Astyanax mexicanus: one gene and its partner. The protein of the gene in region 1 purifies or fractionates together with the protein of each later gene. This does not show direct contact. Links are inferred from orthologs where the notes say so. Each region holds a gene or a part of one and is shown on either strand. Other genes may lie near its edges.

Evidence for each region.
Region 2: the proteins of sh3pxd2aa (region 1) and fgd1 purify together in Homo sapiens (affinity purification with mass spectrometry; 3 studies listed by BioGRID and IntAct, with this or other methods). This does not show direct contact. The link is inferred for Astyanax mexicanus from reciprocal best matches to the Homo sapiens genes SH3PXD2A and FGD1.

What each region holds. Positions count from the first base shown.
Region 1 is NC_064428.1:25,422,172-25,430,553, reverse strand, and holds the start of sh3pxd2aa (SH3 and PX domain-containing protein 2A), read left to right. Parts: upstream 1-4,635; 5' UTR 4,636-5,006; coding exon 5,007-5,078; intron 5,079-8,382. UniProt on the Homo sapiens protein: Adapter protein involved in invadopodia and podosome formation, extracellular matrix degradation and invasiveness of some cancer cells. Binds matrix metalloproteinases (ADAMs), NADPH oxidases (NOXs) and phosphoinositides.
Region 2 is NC_064419.1:4,164,494-4,172,887, forward strand, and holds the start of fgd1 (FYVE, RhoGEF and PH domain-containing protein 1), read left to right. Parts: upstream 1-4,619; 5' UTR 4,620-5,984; coding exon 5,985-6,126; intron 6,127-8,394. Other genes in the region: uncharacterized protein LOC103030869, read left to right, coding at 869-934. UniProt on the Homo sapiens protein: Activates CDC42, a member of the Ras-like family of Rho- and Rac proteins, by exchanging bound GDP for free GTP. Plays a role in regulating the actin cytoskeleton and cell shape.

The DNA of each region.
Region 1 (8,382 bases):
CTGTTTCCATGCAGTTTTCCTGTGCTGTCACCCTATTGGCAGCAGATAACCTGTCTAATAAATACTGAGAAATCAATTCCGTGGACAGCTCACAAACTTTGTTTGGCATCAGGGCAAGGATGCAGTTAGAATCGGTAGAATCGTGCCTGTAATGAGAACACTTATCATTTAATACATGATTAGCGCTGCACCACAGTCCAGCTGGCTTATCTTAGAACTGGCTGAAGTCTGTTTTACCTCAAAATCTCTATGATTGTGCTGTGCATTAACTGTAACAGGTATTTACAGGTATTAACTGTACTTGTGAAACAAGATTCAAATGCATGATAATCTGAATAAGAGCTGTAAATTGAAGTTTGTTTGGAAACAAGACACGGAAAAAGCTGTTTGTGGGGTAAAAATGTAGGCTACCTCTATTTTATTTACCTGAATGTATGTGCTGCTTCGTTATCTTTTGCTAGAATATAATAAGTATAGACAACTGGGCAAAAAAAGGTGTCAGAAACGTCCCATCAAGCTGAATATTTTTAGATACTGCCTAAATAAAACTGTAGGTCAGATATTTTGAGTGTTCACTCCACTCATATCTGACCCAGCAGGAGTTTATAGGAAGGATATTTTGATTGCTGAAAATAATGTAATAGCCAAGAAATCTGTATGAATTAGCATGAAAAACACAGTAAATAATTACTGACACTATTTATTATTATGTACAAGCCAGTATTAAATTAATCAGTATTTAAAACAACTGTATCACTAGGTAATACCCAGTATTTCAAATGGATTCTCATATTTTAATATTCATATTTATACATTGATGGCCTAAATCATTAAAAATTAACAGAATTGTGTGTGTGTGTACGAGTTAGCATGAAAAACAGGATAATATAATTTATTACTTGCCTATCACTTAGTATTTACATTTTAATTTTGATGGCCTTAATCACTGTATCAGAGGATAAAGATAAGTTAACTGAGGTAATAAATCGGTTTTCGTACAGTCAGCCACAGAGCTAGCAAGCTAGAGCCAGCAGAGTTATTTTTTTGTAAGAACACAAGATAATATTTCTTATTTCTTATTAACTTAGTACATTGTCAATTATATTTTGATGCCCTAAATCATTTAAATCAACCAGTAAAGTTAAGGTACAGTGGTATGAAAAAGTTTGGGCATCCATGATATTTTTTATGCTTTCCTTTCTAAATCATTGGTTGTGTGGATCAGTGATTTCAGTTAAATATAGTACATAGCTGATGAACACAGTGATATTTGAGAAGTGAAATTAAGTTTACAGGATTTGCAGAAAGTGTTTTATTGATTGAAATACCTTTAGCACTAATTATTGGAACACAACATTTGTTTGGTAACCTCACTGACCCTTGACCTACATAAAGAGTTAAGGTGGCCAATTGCAAGTTTTTCTCCTCCTTGCATCTTCTCTGAAGAATGGCAACAAGAAAAATCTCAGATAAGCAGAGGAGAAAATTGTAAGAATTGTAAATTGTATAGTCAACCCACAGACCAGCTCCAAAGCTCCTACATCATCATCTTGCTGCAGATGTTAACACTGCACAAGGGGAGGCTGTATGGGAGAATAATGCAGAAGAAGCCTTTTCTGAGCACACGCGGCAGAGTTGCTTGAGGTATGCTAAAGCACATTTGGACAAGCCAGCTTCATTTTGGAATAAGGTTCTATGGACTGATGAAACTTATATTGATTTATTTGGAAGGTGGTATGCATGGCAGAAAAAGAACACAGCATTCCAGTACAAACACTACCCACAGTAAAACTTGGTGGTGGTTCCATCATGCTGTGGGGCTGTGTGTTCAGTGCAGGTACTGGGAATCTTGTTAAAGTTCATGTTCGCATGGATTTCAGTCAATATCAGCAGATTCTTGAGGACAATGTTTAAAAATCATTTAAAAAAAGTTATAGTTGCTTTTTTACAGAAGAACAAGTACAACGTTCTGGAATGGCCATCTCAGTCCTCAGACCTAAAAATATAAATCTGTGTTTGTTTAGTTTATTAAAAAATGGTTTGTCCTCTCTCTCTGTGAGTTTTAAATGTGATCTGCATCGGCACATATGCATATGTGCAATATCTGATATTGGCATTGGCCCTGAATTAAAACTATTGCAATACTGCGATATACCGATTTTTTTTCACACCAAACCACCTTATACTGAACGATTGACATGACTCTAGCAAGACTCTCATGATTTAATTCCGACACTGTGCTACAAGCCACATTGCTCGAATCCATTTTTTGCTTAGATCGAAATTTGAATATCTTGACGGTTCACATTCAAAAATGCAAGTGACCTGAATCTGTGTGTAATGTGAATGAATCTGTCTCTGAAACATCTCACATGTGCACATTGATACATGTATAAACGTTGCCTTCTTCACCAACAACAAGAAACGCCATATTTATGCGGTGACTTGTAGCTTTACAAAGTAAAATGGATGCGTTAGCAGCTCATATGTGGAGCATCTTTTGCTGGAGTGGAGAGAAAACAGCTGGTCTGAAGTTCGAGGAGGTGAAAAAAGGCCAGGTGGTTTGCTTTTGCTGTTTTTGCAGCTATAGCTGCACAGCTGCACCAAGAGATGTGTGGGTATGAGAGAGCATGCATAAAAGCAAAAAGACGCATGAATTTCGATTTGACCATTCACATTAATGTCACATGACCATGGATCGGATATGTATCAAATTTTAGGACCACATATGAAAGTGATTCAAATCTAATTTGACAAAAAAGGGATTTGCATGTTCACACATGACGAAATCAGATCCACACAGAGCCACACTGAGAAAAAAAATGGTTCACACTGGCGTAGCCTTTGTTTTCGACAGTGAAATTGCTTGAAAATTGTTTCGGTGTTAGCAAACTGAATTTGTGTAACAGTTAGCTATCTATGTTAGCCAACACTAAAACACGGAAAACAGTATTATATATTAGTTATTTACTTTTCCTTAATTAAAACCATATTTTGGTGGCCAAATTAAATCACTGTATCAGAGATTAAAGGTACGTTAATGGAAACTGAGGTGATAAATCAGTTAAATTAATAGTTAGGAAAATTTTTGTTAGCTAGCTAAAAGAGTTAGCATTAAATACGCCGTTTTTTAATTATATAGGAGTGTGCCTGTGCGCGTGCGCAGCAACCGTCGGTCGTTAGGACGGATCGGAGCCGGTCGGAGGGGGACGATGTTGGTAGAAGCGGTACTGCAGCCAGAATCACCAAAACACCTCCAAACATCTCACTCTCAGGTTCCTCCTCAGCCGGAAAAGCCCGGCCCATTAGCGAGCTGGAGCCGCACAGAAACAGCCTTCTTCTTCAGATAGAGAAAGAGAGGGAGAGGGGGGGAAGAGAGAGAGAGTGAGTGTGTGTTTGTAAGTGAGAGAGAGAGAAAGAGAGAGAGAGAGAGAGTAAGTAAGAGCGTAAGAGCGTGTGTGTTTTCGTTCACTCCAAGCCTGCCTTCTTCTCTCGTCAAGCCCCCCACAACCGACCACCTCCAGGTCCAGCTTTGCCAACTGAGGCTTACCGTGCGTCCACACCGAAAGCGACGCGAGCGACAAAGCAGCCGGAAGTCATTCATTTTCAATGAGAGCGAGCGACACTGGGCGACAGGCAGCGACGCGGCGCGACGCGATGCGAAGCGGGCGGTTTGAGCGACGCGAGAGAGTTGACCAGAACTTAACTTTATGCAAATGAGCAGCGACGCGCGGCGGCGACTACCAATCAGAAACAGATTCTCATATGTCCGGCCTGAAATCGCTGCTCTGATTTTCAGTTCCTACTGAAGATTTATTCCGCCAGCAAAACGGAAAGAACAGAACTGAACTGAGCTGATCTGAGGTAAAATACTCCACTTCACCAGCGGCTACCCCAGTATAGTACTATCCTTACAGAATTACCTTATTTAATAGAAAACTATATATTAAACTGAGGAAATTATTTATAAATTAACAGAACGATTTATGACAACTAAGGGAATATTTTTTAAATTAACAGAACCTTTTATTGAAACAAAGGGAATTATTTATTAAAGTTAACATAATGATTTATTACAACTGAAGAAAGTAATTAATACATTTAACGTAACAATTTGTTCAAACTGAGGTATGGAATTTGAAACGATTTAGGTAAAATTGAGGGAATTATTCATTACATTTTACAGAAAGATTTATTCAAACTGAGGGAATTATTTATTAAATTAAGAGAAAGACTGTTTATTAAATCAAGAGGATGATTTAATATATTTAAGTAAACATATTAATTACAAGAATTTATTTTAGACATTAAGTTAACAATATTTGAAATTATGGACAAATTAAGAGAATGATTTACTACATTAAGGAAAATAATGTATTATATTTAAGTAAACCCATTTATTGTAATATGAAATAATTATGTTAAATAATTGTACTTAAAAATAGTTATAAAAGTTTTTAATGTTTAGGAACTGTGTAGAGAGGCTGAACCCTTGTTTCTGTATGTGCCGTATTTGGAAAACGCCCACCAGCGACAGCTCGTTCTGAGTGAGACACGCCCACAAGCGACTCATCGCCTGTTGGACAGGCGACACAGAGCGATTTTATCGCGTTCGGTGTGAACGTACAGTTAGGAGCTCAACTTGGATCTAACCTATTGTTTTCATCCAGCGGCGGCAGCAGCAGCACGAGCAGCGGCGGCGGCAGTGCTGCGGTTCAGCCCGGAGACAGCTGAGCAGCAGAACCGCGCTTTATCCAACTACATGGATTTCGTTACTACTATTATCCCCCCGTCGTTTTTGGCTTCGTACGAGCAGCGCAGCCGTTAAGCTGCTGGGTATCAGAGCACCCGGGGTGTCTTCATTTAGCTACACGACCTGGAGCGGAGAGACTCGCCCCCTTTCAAACAAACGGAGCGAAAACAAACCTCCAGACCCTTCTTCATTTATCCAGCGCTTACTGCCCCCGTCTCTCCGCTGCCCTGTCTCCGCCGCCTCCGCTTCAGCGATGCAGCTCCGCACCGTTTTGGACGTGAAAGTCGTGGACGTGGAGAAACGGAGGCACCCCTCCAAACACTACGTGAGTGGGCCTGTGATTAGAGCTGGATAGTTCTTAGTTAGCTAGTTAGCTTAGCTAGGTTAGGTAACTATAACGTTAGCTAGGTAACTAGGTAACTAGTTAGCTAACCTACCTGGACCCGTGGTTAAACCCTGCCTCTATCTCCGTTGTTGTTTTTTTTAATCATTATTTTATCTAGCTATAATATTTAATAGCTACAGGACACGGTTTCTGGTCTGAACACACACATACATACACATTGGGTCATACATAATAGTAATATTGGAGACTTTGCTAAGCTAACTAGCTAGTTAGTAGTTAACCTAAGCTAGCAAGCTATGGGTCTTCTGAGGGCTCTTCTGCATGTGACAGAAAAGCTGAGGGAGGGAGAAGAAAAAAAAGGCGATGACGTCATGCACGTTTTTAAAACCGGTTTTAAAACGCAAGTGTGAACGCGACCTAAAAAACACAAAACGTTCATGGCTCAATCTATGCAGCCTAATGAGGTTGAGAGGGGTGGACATTAGAGTAAAAACCACAGTGTTTCTAAACTTGACTTTTAAGATGCAGGATGTTTAGAAACGAATGCAATAAATATCCCTTAATATTCTTAATAAAAAACAAAACAAACAAAAAAAAAAATTATTTATACCAAACAGTGGCTTGACAGAAATATGTTTAAGCTCTTTAGCATATGCAAAGAAAAAAAATGATTTAGAAATGTTTAATTTGGTTTTGGCCAAAAAAATAATTTCATTTCTGTTTCAGTTATTTTTTTGGTGGCTACAGCGTTGTTCCAATGTTCTAAAATGTATAAGTTCTATTGTCTAATAATGAAACATAAACGGAATTTTGGAAAGTCGTCAGAGGTAATGTTATGTTTTTAATATATGGTTGTGAAAGCAACCTTTGGACAATGTTGTAGCAACCTTCTTAGAAAGTAGACAACATTGTGACACAATACTTTAAGACATCATGCAACATAAAGTGTCCAAGTTATGCATTTACTTTTTAATAATTTAGCTCTCATCTTGTAGTAAAACATGTAGGCAATCAATTATTGGAAGGAGGACTGTATTTATATTAACGATATACTCAAAAAACAATGTTGTGATATAATGTCATGCAACATAATTGTAAAATTGCACACAGCTAGGTTAGCCGTACATCTATCTCATCAAACATTCTAGTTGGTTTACTTTTAGTTCAATCCCAGTGTCAGCAAGTGCATATTTGACAGGCAGTTTTGTAGTAAGTGGACATATAGTACCTGGTCAGTAGGCTGTGTAACTGAGTGAAAGACACTGAAAAACACTTGTCTTTTAACAAGGTCTTCCTTGATGCCTGTCCGTCTGGCAGTTAACTGATGAGCTGAATCAGGCAGCGTTGGAGTGAAAGCTAGGAGATGATGTTGTAATAGAACTGTGAGGACCAGAAGTGATGACCCCTGCTGTAGTTGTTGACAACTCTGTCAAAATGTTCATTTCGACCCGTAGTGAGGTGTCCGGACACTTTGATTTTAGCTGATCTGACAAGATCCACGCTGGCTGTTGCCTTACATCCTTTTTTTTAGAATGTGAAACACTAACCTTAAATATTCATTGGTTTACAGCTGAAGTGATGAGACTCCAGTGAGAAGGAATGATCACCACCTGCTATGAAAAGTACGGTTCGGTGAATTTGCTTGAGTTAAATGTTTACACTACATCATTTCCACATATCAGACGAAAACAGAGCTGATGAGTTTGATCTTGCTTTGTTTTAAGTTTGGCAGTAATTGTGTTATCTTATATACACCTCTCCCACATAACATTCATTAAAAAAAAACACCTACCTAAACAAACAGCCCAGACTTTTTAATCATTGACTCCACAAGTCCTTTAAAGTAGATCCTTCGTCAAGTTCTGTAAGCTGAAAGGTGGACATCAATAAACCTTAAGCACCCATGATGACCATGTCATTGGTTTGCTAGTTGTTCTTTGTTTGATTGCTTTAATTAGGTTCAAATCACTGCAACACCTGCCATTTTGGAGATGATATAATCCAGTTGAAAGCTTGTACATTTTTTCAGATTCTTAAGCAGCTTACTGTTCACTTGCTGCCTAATGTTTTATATACTACCCCCTGACAGGTGACACTGTAGCGATAGATTAGTTGTTCACTTTTCCTATCAGTGGCTTTAATGTTATAGTTGAAACTGTATGAAATCTGTTAACTCTAGGAGCACACAAATGCTGGTGTAATTAGGGTTCAAGCACCGAAGGTGCGTAGAACCCTATTGTTTTTGTTAAGATTTTTCTTCTTATTATTATTATTATTCTTTTTCCTCTGAAAAAGCAGTTGTGCAGCCTAAACCGTAAGTCTTAGAGAAATTAAACTTGGTAGGTAGATGTAGGATCAGTGCATCTCAGTGGACAACAAAAATGGCACCAATTGGTCAAGTGGTGGCGCTATAAACAAGGAAATTCATTTTTCACAATTTTCTCAATAACTCAAAAACCATAAGACATACATTTAAAATTCTTTTTTTGCTGGATTCCTTGGGTTAATACCTACAACGTTCCAATTTGGACCATGCACTTCCGTCTATATAGATTTTTTGCTAATTTGCATAATATGCAAAACATACTTTTGCGAACTAGTCCTAGGAATTTTCATAAATCCTGGCATGTTTGGTATCAAAATACTCGTGAGAGCATGGCCTTCAATATTCGTCAAAAAATGTTGAAATTTGTAAACAATATGGCCGCCATATGCAAATTAGTCCTTCCGGATATATGCCCCATTCACTTCAATTGTTAAATTTGGAACACTGTTTCTCAGCAACCGTGCAACCTAGCAAGCTGAAACTTTGCATGCAGAATCATACAGCCTCTAAAGGATGTTCAAAGGGCAACTTAATCAATCAACATGGCTGAACACCATCAGCCTTCAGCAGACATTTTGGAAGGCTGAATGTTGCCCAATCTGGATGACACAGTTATGTTCAGGTGGAGACACTGTAGTGACCTGCAAAGTGCTGAAACATTCCAAAAAATCAAATATATGTCAATCATACTGTACTATTTTGACATCTAAATGTTTGTGCCATATTCAGTACAGTGGCTCTGACAAATTTGTCAATACAACAAAGTGCTTTGTTTATTCATAATTGCTAATTGTTTGAAAATAGCAATATTGATACTAGTCTCTGGATATTTGGCCTATCACCTCCATTTCAGACTTGTTGCACACTGCAGAGTCTCTAGGTTAAGATTCAATAAAAACATTTGTGAAAATTTCACATACAATACTCTCCAGGCATCAAGCAATCTGAGCGTCCTTG
Region 2 (8,394 bases), on another chromosome or scaffold:
TATGAATATGAACTTGTTTTCTTTGCATTATTTGGGGTCTAAAAGTTTTGCATCTTTATTATTTCATTTAATTTCCTGCACATAAATGCTCTAAATGACCGGTTTTATTTGGAATTTGAGAGAAATGTTGTCTGTAGTTCATAGAATAAAACAACAATGTTTATTTCACTCAAACATAAACCTATAAATAACAAAATCAGAGAAACCGATTCAGAAACTGATTCAGTGGTCTCTTAATTTTTATTTTCAGAGCTGTATTACAAAATTAGGGTCTACCCTCCTACACTGCATGCATGTGAGCAAAAAAAATCTTTCCATGTGAATGATCTTGAGAGACATTATTCCACCCCTGCCACAAAAAAAGGCGTAACTTTCAATGCAAGTTAAATTAACAGTGTTTATGTTTTATGGAAAAGAGTTTGAAAGTCGGGAAAAAATGTTAAGTGCTTTATTTTTATTTATTTATTTATTTATTTTATTGTTGGCTGTGTGCTGTGTTTAACTAGAAACCAGTATTTGGCAGCACTTCAGTGCTGCTGGACACTCAGCCCAGTCCCCCATATGGCAGGTCTGGCCATGCTACAGTGGATACGTGGTGGTTTAGGGTTCCTGAATTTCAGCTTGGCCAGCCGGCACATTCCAGACATTCCGGTCTAATTCCCAGGCATTTGGGGAATTCACTTAGCACTCATTCTTCTTCTAAATGTCTTTCAGCTTTACTGTTTACTCCCACGGTTGAGTTTCAGGTGTGGGTTGGTGTTTACAGTTAGTAATCCATTTCTAATGTTCAGCACATACTTTTCGGCACTGCAGCTTTTCTAGACATATTATGATGCTGATCAGGTTTAAATACTTATTCACTCCACAGCCACGGTACAGCCTGAGGAGCAGGAGATCCTTATGTGCTCCACCACCAAAAGATGAAGGAGACTGATTCAGACCACTGGACAACATTTGTCATATGTAGAGACTTTTATTTGACAGTTTTCACTGTTTTGTATGTTTTTTATAAGTATGTTTTAATGCAGATGTGGTGTTATTATTGTAACATTTAATAACTTTAATAAATACTATTTTTGCTACTTGTTTGAGATCACATTTTGGTATAATGAGTAAATCTGGTTTGCTGTTTGGATTTTCCACTACTGGACTTTTAAATAGACTCCCTCAGCAAGACCGCCACCTTCTGGACAAATACTGTCATTGTCCTTTCCTGATGTCAGGTCTCTCCAAACCATCACTGATTGGTGGAAACTTCACTCTAGACCTCAAGCAGTTTGGACTGTGTGTCTCTCCACTCTTCCTCCAGACTCTGCTTCCTTGATTTACAAATAAAATGTAAAATTTACTGATGATCAGTGATGGATTGGAGAGACTGTCATCTGCTGGTGTTGATCCACTATTTTATATCAAGTTACAGCACTTCATGCTTCCCTCTGTTACTGACAACTTTTATTGAGATGCGGATTTCATTTTCCAGCAGGACTTGGCACACTGCCCACACTGCCAAAACTACCAATTGGTCTTATATGATATATTCTAATTTTTCTGAGACACAGATTTTTGGGTTTTCATTGGTTGTAAGCCATAATCATCAACAATAAAAGAAATAAATGCTTAAAATAGATCACTCTGTGTGTAATACATCAATTTAATATATACGTTTTACATTTTGAACTGAATAACTGAAATAAAGTAACTTTTTAATGATTCAATATTTACATTTTTTGAAATGCACAAGTAATTAAACACTGACAGTATCAACAATATGCTTGGAGAAATGTTTATTATTCATCATAATGATTTTTGTGACTGTACAATAAAATATTGTCATATTGCCCACATTGATACACAGGGTGATATAAGGTAAAGTAGCCCACAAAAAAATCCAGCCGTGGCTATATTTGCATAACAGACATTGTGACCCTCAGTTTCCTGGAAAGAAAGCAGGAGTCATTGTGGCCTCACTTTAACAAAAAGAGTGCCTTTAAAGTATTTTAGGAATTCTTTTTCTGAGGTGTTTTGTTTTGTTTTTTGACATTATTTAAAAAAGACAACATTTTGCCCCCCTCCAAGGCCAGATTTTACTACAAACGTCATCCAGACTATGAAGAAGCACACAAGGGAATCATGTAGTAACTGAATATTGTTAAACAAATCAAAATACTTTAGGTGCTCTTATCTTAGGAGCTGTTAACTTGTGGTTTCTGAGTCTGGTAACTCTGATAAAACATATCCTGTACAACAGAGGGAACTCTTGATTATTCTTTTTGGGGTGGTCCTAATGAGAGCCAGTTTCATCATAATGTTTTTGATGGTGTTTGTGACTGTTGATTTATTTATTTATTTTTTTTCATTACTTAGTTGAGTAATTCTTGCCATAATATAGATTAAAACGTTACTCATATAGAGCTATTCATTGTATTCCTGTAACTCTACCTCTTCACAACTTTATAATTGATGCTCTCAAACATTAACATTAAGAGGTAAGAAATTGAAGTAGTTAATTATTTTAGCTTTTAACTTAAATCTATTCCAGGTGACTCTACCTCATAAAGCTGATTGAGAAAAGGCCAAGATGTGCAAAACTTAAAAGCTAAATAATTATTTTTTTTTTCATAGTTTGGATGCCTTTAGTATTTAGAAATGTTAAAATAATGAAATAAAACACAAACTTTAAGGTGTCCAAATTTTTGACTGGTACTGTATGTTAATTTGTCACCTGTCTGCTTTCATGTTGTCTACAAAAAATGACAAAGGTTTTTTCACCATTTTAAGATGGTACAGAGCTTGTCTGTTCCTGTGAGCAGGATGTTGTATGTTTAGTGGGTTCATGTATTTTACTGCATGGCTTTTTGAAGAGTTTAGTTTGGCCAGAGACAGGGTGTAATCTACTTATGGGATATCAGCCATGTGTCATAAACCTTGTACATCCACTATGACCTCTTCACCCCACACACACATACACATTCATACCTAGTAACTCATATGATAGAAGGAATGATGGACTGCATGCGGTTAATAATGCTTACTCAACCTGTATGAATTTGGCTCAGTATAAACATTTACGGGAAAACCTACAGATTCCAATTAATCGTTCTCCCACACCATCCTGGGAGAGATGGAAGAAGCTGGAGGTTTGTGTTGCCTTGTTGGTATGTTGTAATGGTGCTCCATTTCTGTGAGGCCAGTCATACAGTAGGTCCTAAACCAGCTACTTCTGATCTCCATATCTTATTTGTTAGTAATGCATCTTGGATTCCTCTGGTGCTTTGGGACTCCTGTGCTTTCTAGGGTCTTCTAAAGGTTTTTCAACACACCTGAGCTAGGAAACTGATATGAATGTGTAAATATGTAAAAATGATTTATTATCGCAAGTGGACCTACATGTGCCTGAGTAAGGGATGTTTATTGGCAAGAGCATGTTGATATGCATTACAAATCAGGGATTTGATACAGGGGTCCCTGTATCACATTAATGGTTTGTGGACCATTGAGGAACAGAGTGAGAAAAGGCTAATACAAACAGAAGGACTATCATCAATTTATAGAACTATAACAAAAGGGTGGTCATAATGTTATGCTTGATGGACTGTGTGTCTCTCCACTCTTCCTCCAGATTTGGTCCTTTTGATTTCCAAATGAAATGTAAAATTTACTGATAATCAGTGATGGTTTGGAGAGACATGTCATCTGCTGGTGTTGATCCACTGTGTTTTATTATCAAGTCTAAAGTCAGCGCAGTTTTGTTTTCCCGGAAAATCTTACAGCACTTCATGCTTCCCTCTGCTACTGACAACTTTTATGGTGAGGTGGATTTTATTTTCCAGCAGGACTTGGCACACTGCCCTCACTGTCAAAAGTAGCAATTGGTCTTATGTAATATTCTAAATTTCTGAGACGCTGATTTTTGGGTTTTCATTGGCTGTAAGCCATAATCGTCAACAATAAAAGAAATAAACACTTAGATATAAATAGATCACTGTGTGTAATACAGAATATTATTTCAATTATATTATAATTTCTGTGATGCACTAGTATATAGTGCAGCCCATACATTTGCAGAATGCTTACAAGGTTGCATAAAACGACATGAATTTAATTTAATGTCTCCCAGAGTCCCCCAGATATCCTGTTCCCATAAATGTTTGTTATTTCTTGAGTTCATTCTTCCAGTTTGAGCTACTGGAGCAATCTGGGTCAGATTGGAGGAGTCCATGACCTTTTCTGCTGCTGTTTACAGCCTCCCCCCTGTCCTCCCTGCCCTCCCTGTTGGGCTAAAAGTTTAATTCATGTAATGTAAACCATCAAGCCCAATTAGAAGATCCCATAAAAACGTGTGCTTTTCAGATATGTGTTTTTGGGGAGTGAGGGAAAAAGAAAGAGGGAGAAATTCAAATCCTGCTAACGTTTTTCTTCGCCTCAGATTTCAAGCCCAAACCCGACAGACAGGGGAAAAAACCCAAATGAGAAACAGACTTTGGGAAAAGTGGAGATGGTGGTGTTTTGAGGAGGAGGAGGAGGAAGAAGAAGAGGAGGAGAGGGGGGTTGAGCTGAGAGCTGAGAACTGAGACTTGGTTTCATATGTCGACCAAGTAATGCTCTCTCTCTCTCTCTCTCTCTCTCTCTCTCTCTCTCACACACACACACACACACTCACTCACTCTCACACAGGAGCAGCGAAAAAAGAAGGGAGCCAGGAAGAAAAAGAGGAGGAGGAGAAAAGGCACAGAGAGAAAAAGAGGGAGAAGGGGGGTTAGGTTTATCGTCTTTTAGACTCCACACATCTGACAACCGTACTGTCGAGGGTTTTTACTTCAGTTCACACGTATAACTTCATCTACAGTGGATCTGTAACCGGTGTAAACTGAGGGAAAATGCTGCAGCTGGATTATTTAAGGAGACTCTTCAGCTTCTGGATGCTTAAAGCGGTAAAACCGAGGAATTGAGCGCAGAAACGAAGCGGTTGGAGGATTTTTTTTGTGTGTAAGAAGCTGAGTGAGCACATTTTGAGGAGCTTTCTGGCTTTCTAAGGGAAACAGACTGAACGGCGACGGGAATGGCCAAAGCTGACTTCAACTTTTACACGTTTTTGAACAAATACAGCGCGTATATTGAATGAACAGTTAATTGGGATACGCGACAAGACGATGGATTACGGGTTTTTTTGTAGTTTCTGTTTAATTCTGGGTAATTTCACGACTTTCTCGAATTCTGCTGAGATGGCAGTGATCTGCTAACTAAATAGGCTTGTTTAAATAGCTGTAGTACTTTTTCCACTCATTGTCTTGTTTTGGTTTTTTTTCTTCCTCCTTTTTGGGTTAATGCTACTTTATAATAGCGTTTTTACAGTACCACAGTTAGTTAACTAACCTAAAGATGAGAGAAAATAACGTTAGCTATAGATACGAAACAATAGAAACGCAACTTTAAGAAGCTTTTATTGTTTTTTTTTTTTTTCGTTTCGTAGCACCTGGAATAGAACATAAAATAGAGACGTTTTGTTGTGTATGTACTTTTAAACAAAGGATTAAGTTAGCGTATAGCGTGTAGTCGTTTTACTTTAAGCTAAATAACTAACTAGCTTGTTAACAAAGAAAGGTGGTATAAATTATTGAAGTGAAAAAAGAAAAAGAATATGATAGAGTAAGACATATAGCTAATTTAAGTCAATGGTAACGTTACTAAAATGTATAGATAACAAACATACTCTCTTTTTTTTTAATAACAACAAAACCTAAGCCAACAACAGCACCGTTATGCAGGCTTCACTTTACTTTTAACGTTAACCCACTCATCATTTTTAAACTAGGTAGCTACTAAATGACCCAGAATTAAATAAGCTGCTCTTTGATGGAGTTTTCCAGCACTCGAAGGCACTTGGATTTGATTTTTGCTCTGGGCAGCAGCCTGGGAGATAATAATCCCCCTTCCAGCTCGCTACAACCCACCGTGTCCCGCCTCCAGGCTGAGGGCGAGCAGGCATGCAGCTGAACCGGCCGAGGAGCGCCCTTGTCGGCTACGCGGAGAGCCACGCGTCCTTCTCCAGCCAGTTCAAAACCATGCGCTTCTCCTACCACATCAGCGGGGGGCTGCCGAGCCCTCAGCCGGCTCTACGCCGGAGAGGTGAGTCCTGCGCTGGGTCACTGGGTCGGCACGTCTCGGTGCTGCCTGTAAGTGGCTGCTTGGTTTTCTTCATGATTGTCTTTTTTTGTTAGTGGAGCTGAAAGGATGAATTAATGCTTTGGAAGTGTGTCCTTGCCTGCTGAAGCTTGGAGATGAATCATTCATCTGATTGCTGATCCAGTTTATATGCACAGCATGTGTCTGCATGTTCTTCTGTCAAGGGCACTGAATGAGAGAGAGAAGCTTGTGTTATTGTGTGGATGAATGTTGTTCTTGTATAAATTCAGCAATGCCACTCTGGGCATGGGGTCAGGAATGATTAATTAGTCAGTCTTTTCTGCTTTATGCTTTGATTGGATCCAGTGCATATATAGTTAGTTCATTAGGGCATTGGCGTAGGAACCGGGGGGGATGTCCCACCCAATATTAGAAACAGGTGGATTTGTCCCCCCCAAAAATGAAATAGTTTCGCTCAGCTCAGTCGTACTGTTAATGAAGAGACCGACCGCTAAGCGCTGGGAAACCAATCACGGTGCCGGTTCAGGGAGAAAGTCCCGCCTTTCAGGAGAAACAGCCAATCAGCTCGCTGGTCTTGCGAGAAGAGTTTTAATGGGATAAAGATGTAAATAAAGATGTTTTAATTGGAGGCACCTTTCCCATATTTCCCATTGAACAGGGTCAGCAATTTGACTATGTGGTAAAGTATTTCTGAATAATGAAAAATGATCATGTCTGTTCTCATCTACATTGGTTAAATCCAATGGAAATTATATGCTTCCCCTCACAAAAGGTCATTCATATATTTGGACATGATATTTTTATTTCGTAATTGGTCATTCAGTGTATGTTGTGCACCATTCAAGATGCTTTCATTGTATGCACAGATATTATATTATCTAAACATGTTGGTGAATGTCTGAATGCAGAACTAATTATTGCCAAGAGTTTAGGTATACCTTATATCCGTATCTGGAAGAATGCCATCTCCTTTATCATCTCCTTTGATTAAATCCAATTGCAATGATCTGTTACCCCTAAAATGACTGGCCATACTTGGGCAACCCATTGGACTGTGCAGTATATGTTGTTCATCGTCCATGATGCATTAATTGGAGGCACTTTTCCCCCATTGAAAAGGGTCAGAAATTTGACTATCAGGTTGGGTATTTCTGAATAATTGAAAGAATATTATATCCGTTCTCATCTGCATTGGTTAAATCCAATGGAAAAATATATGCTACCCCTCAACCAATGGTCATATATGTACATGATATTTTGATTTATAAATTGGTCATACAGTATATGTTGTAAACCATTCAAAATGCATTTTCATTTGAAGAACAGCCATTATATTAGTTGAACATCTAGATAAATTGTTATTTTCCTATTGGACTGGGTCAGCAATACAACCATTTGCTATAGATAGATGGTTTTTCAAAAACTGAATAAACCACAATGGTTTCTTTGAATTTAAAGGACACTAAAAGAGGGAAAATTACCTTTTGACCCCCGGACAGTGTTCAGAATAGGACAACAGGGTCAAATAAGAAAGGCATTTGCTTGTGTCTTCAATATTGTGTAAATCATTTTTTTATTTTAATTAAAGTAATGAATTTGTTGACATGGGCATCAATATTACCGCAGGTAATCAAAATGATTGGAAAACCTCATTCTCTCAATCTGAATCTGAGTGTCGTGGTACTATTCGTGCATTTCAAGGAAAGTTAAAATATATTTACTGTAGGCGATGTCCCCTCAGTGAAAGCTGACAGTATGTCCAGTACATTAGGTCTTCAAGAGTCATCTTAAGTCATACTGATGTGATTTGTAAATCTAATCACTGGGGCACCAGAACAGGGTCGTGATGGCATTCACATGGTCCTCTGCTCACAATTTAAGGACACCGACAAAATCCTTGGAACGGAACAGCATTGTCCCTGTGCTACTCTTCACTACTGTGCCATGTTTGTACTTGTGTATGTGTGTGTGTGTGTGTGTTTCTTTGAGACTGTCAGTGTGGGGTATTTGCTCAAGCAGTGTGCTGTGAAATCCAATTAAACTCCAGAGAATGGAGCATGCGTCCGAGATGCGTCTGTGCTGACCAGCAGATACAGAGAGTTGCCTGTCACAATATGAGCCGGTGCTTTGCTCCAGTGGATTGCTGCAGTGGAAGAAGAAGCCATTTATTTCCTGGGTGCAGGGCTTTTCTGTAATTTGCCTGTAGAAATTATGGCCTATTGATTCGAGGATGTGTGCACAGAGCGCATG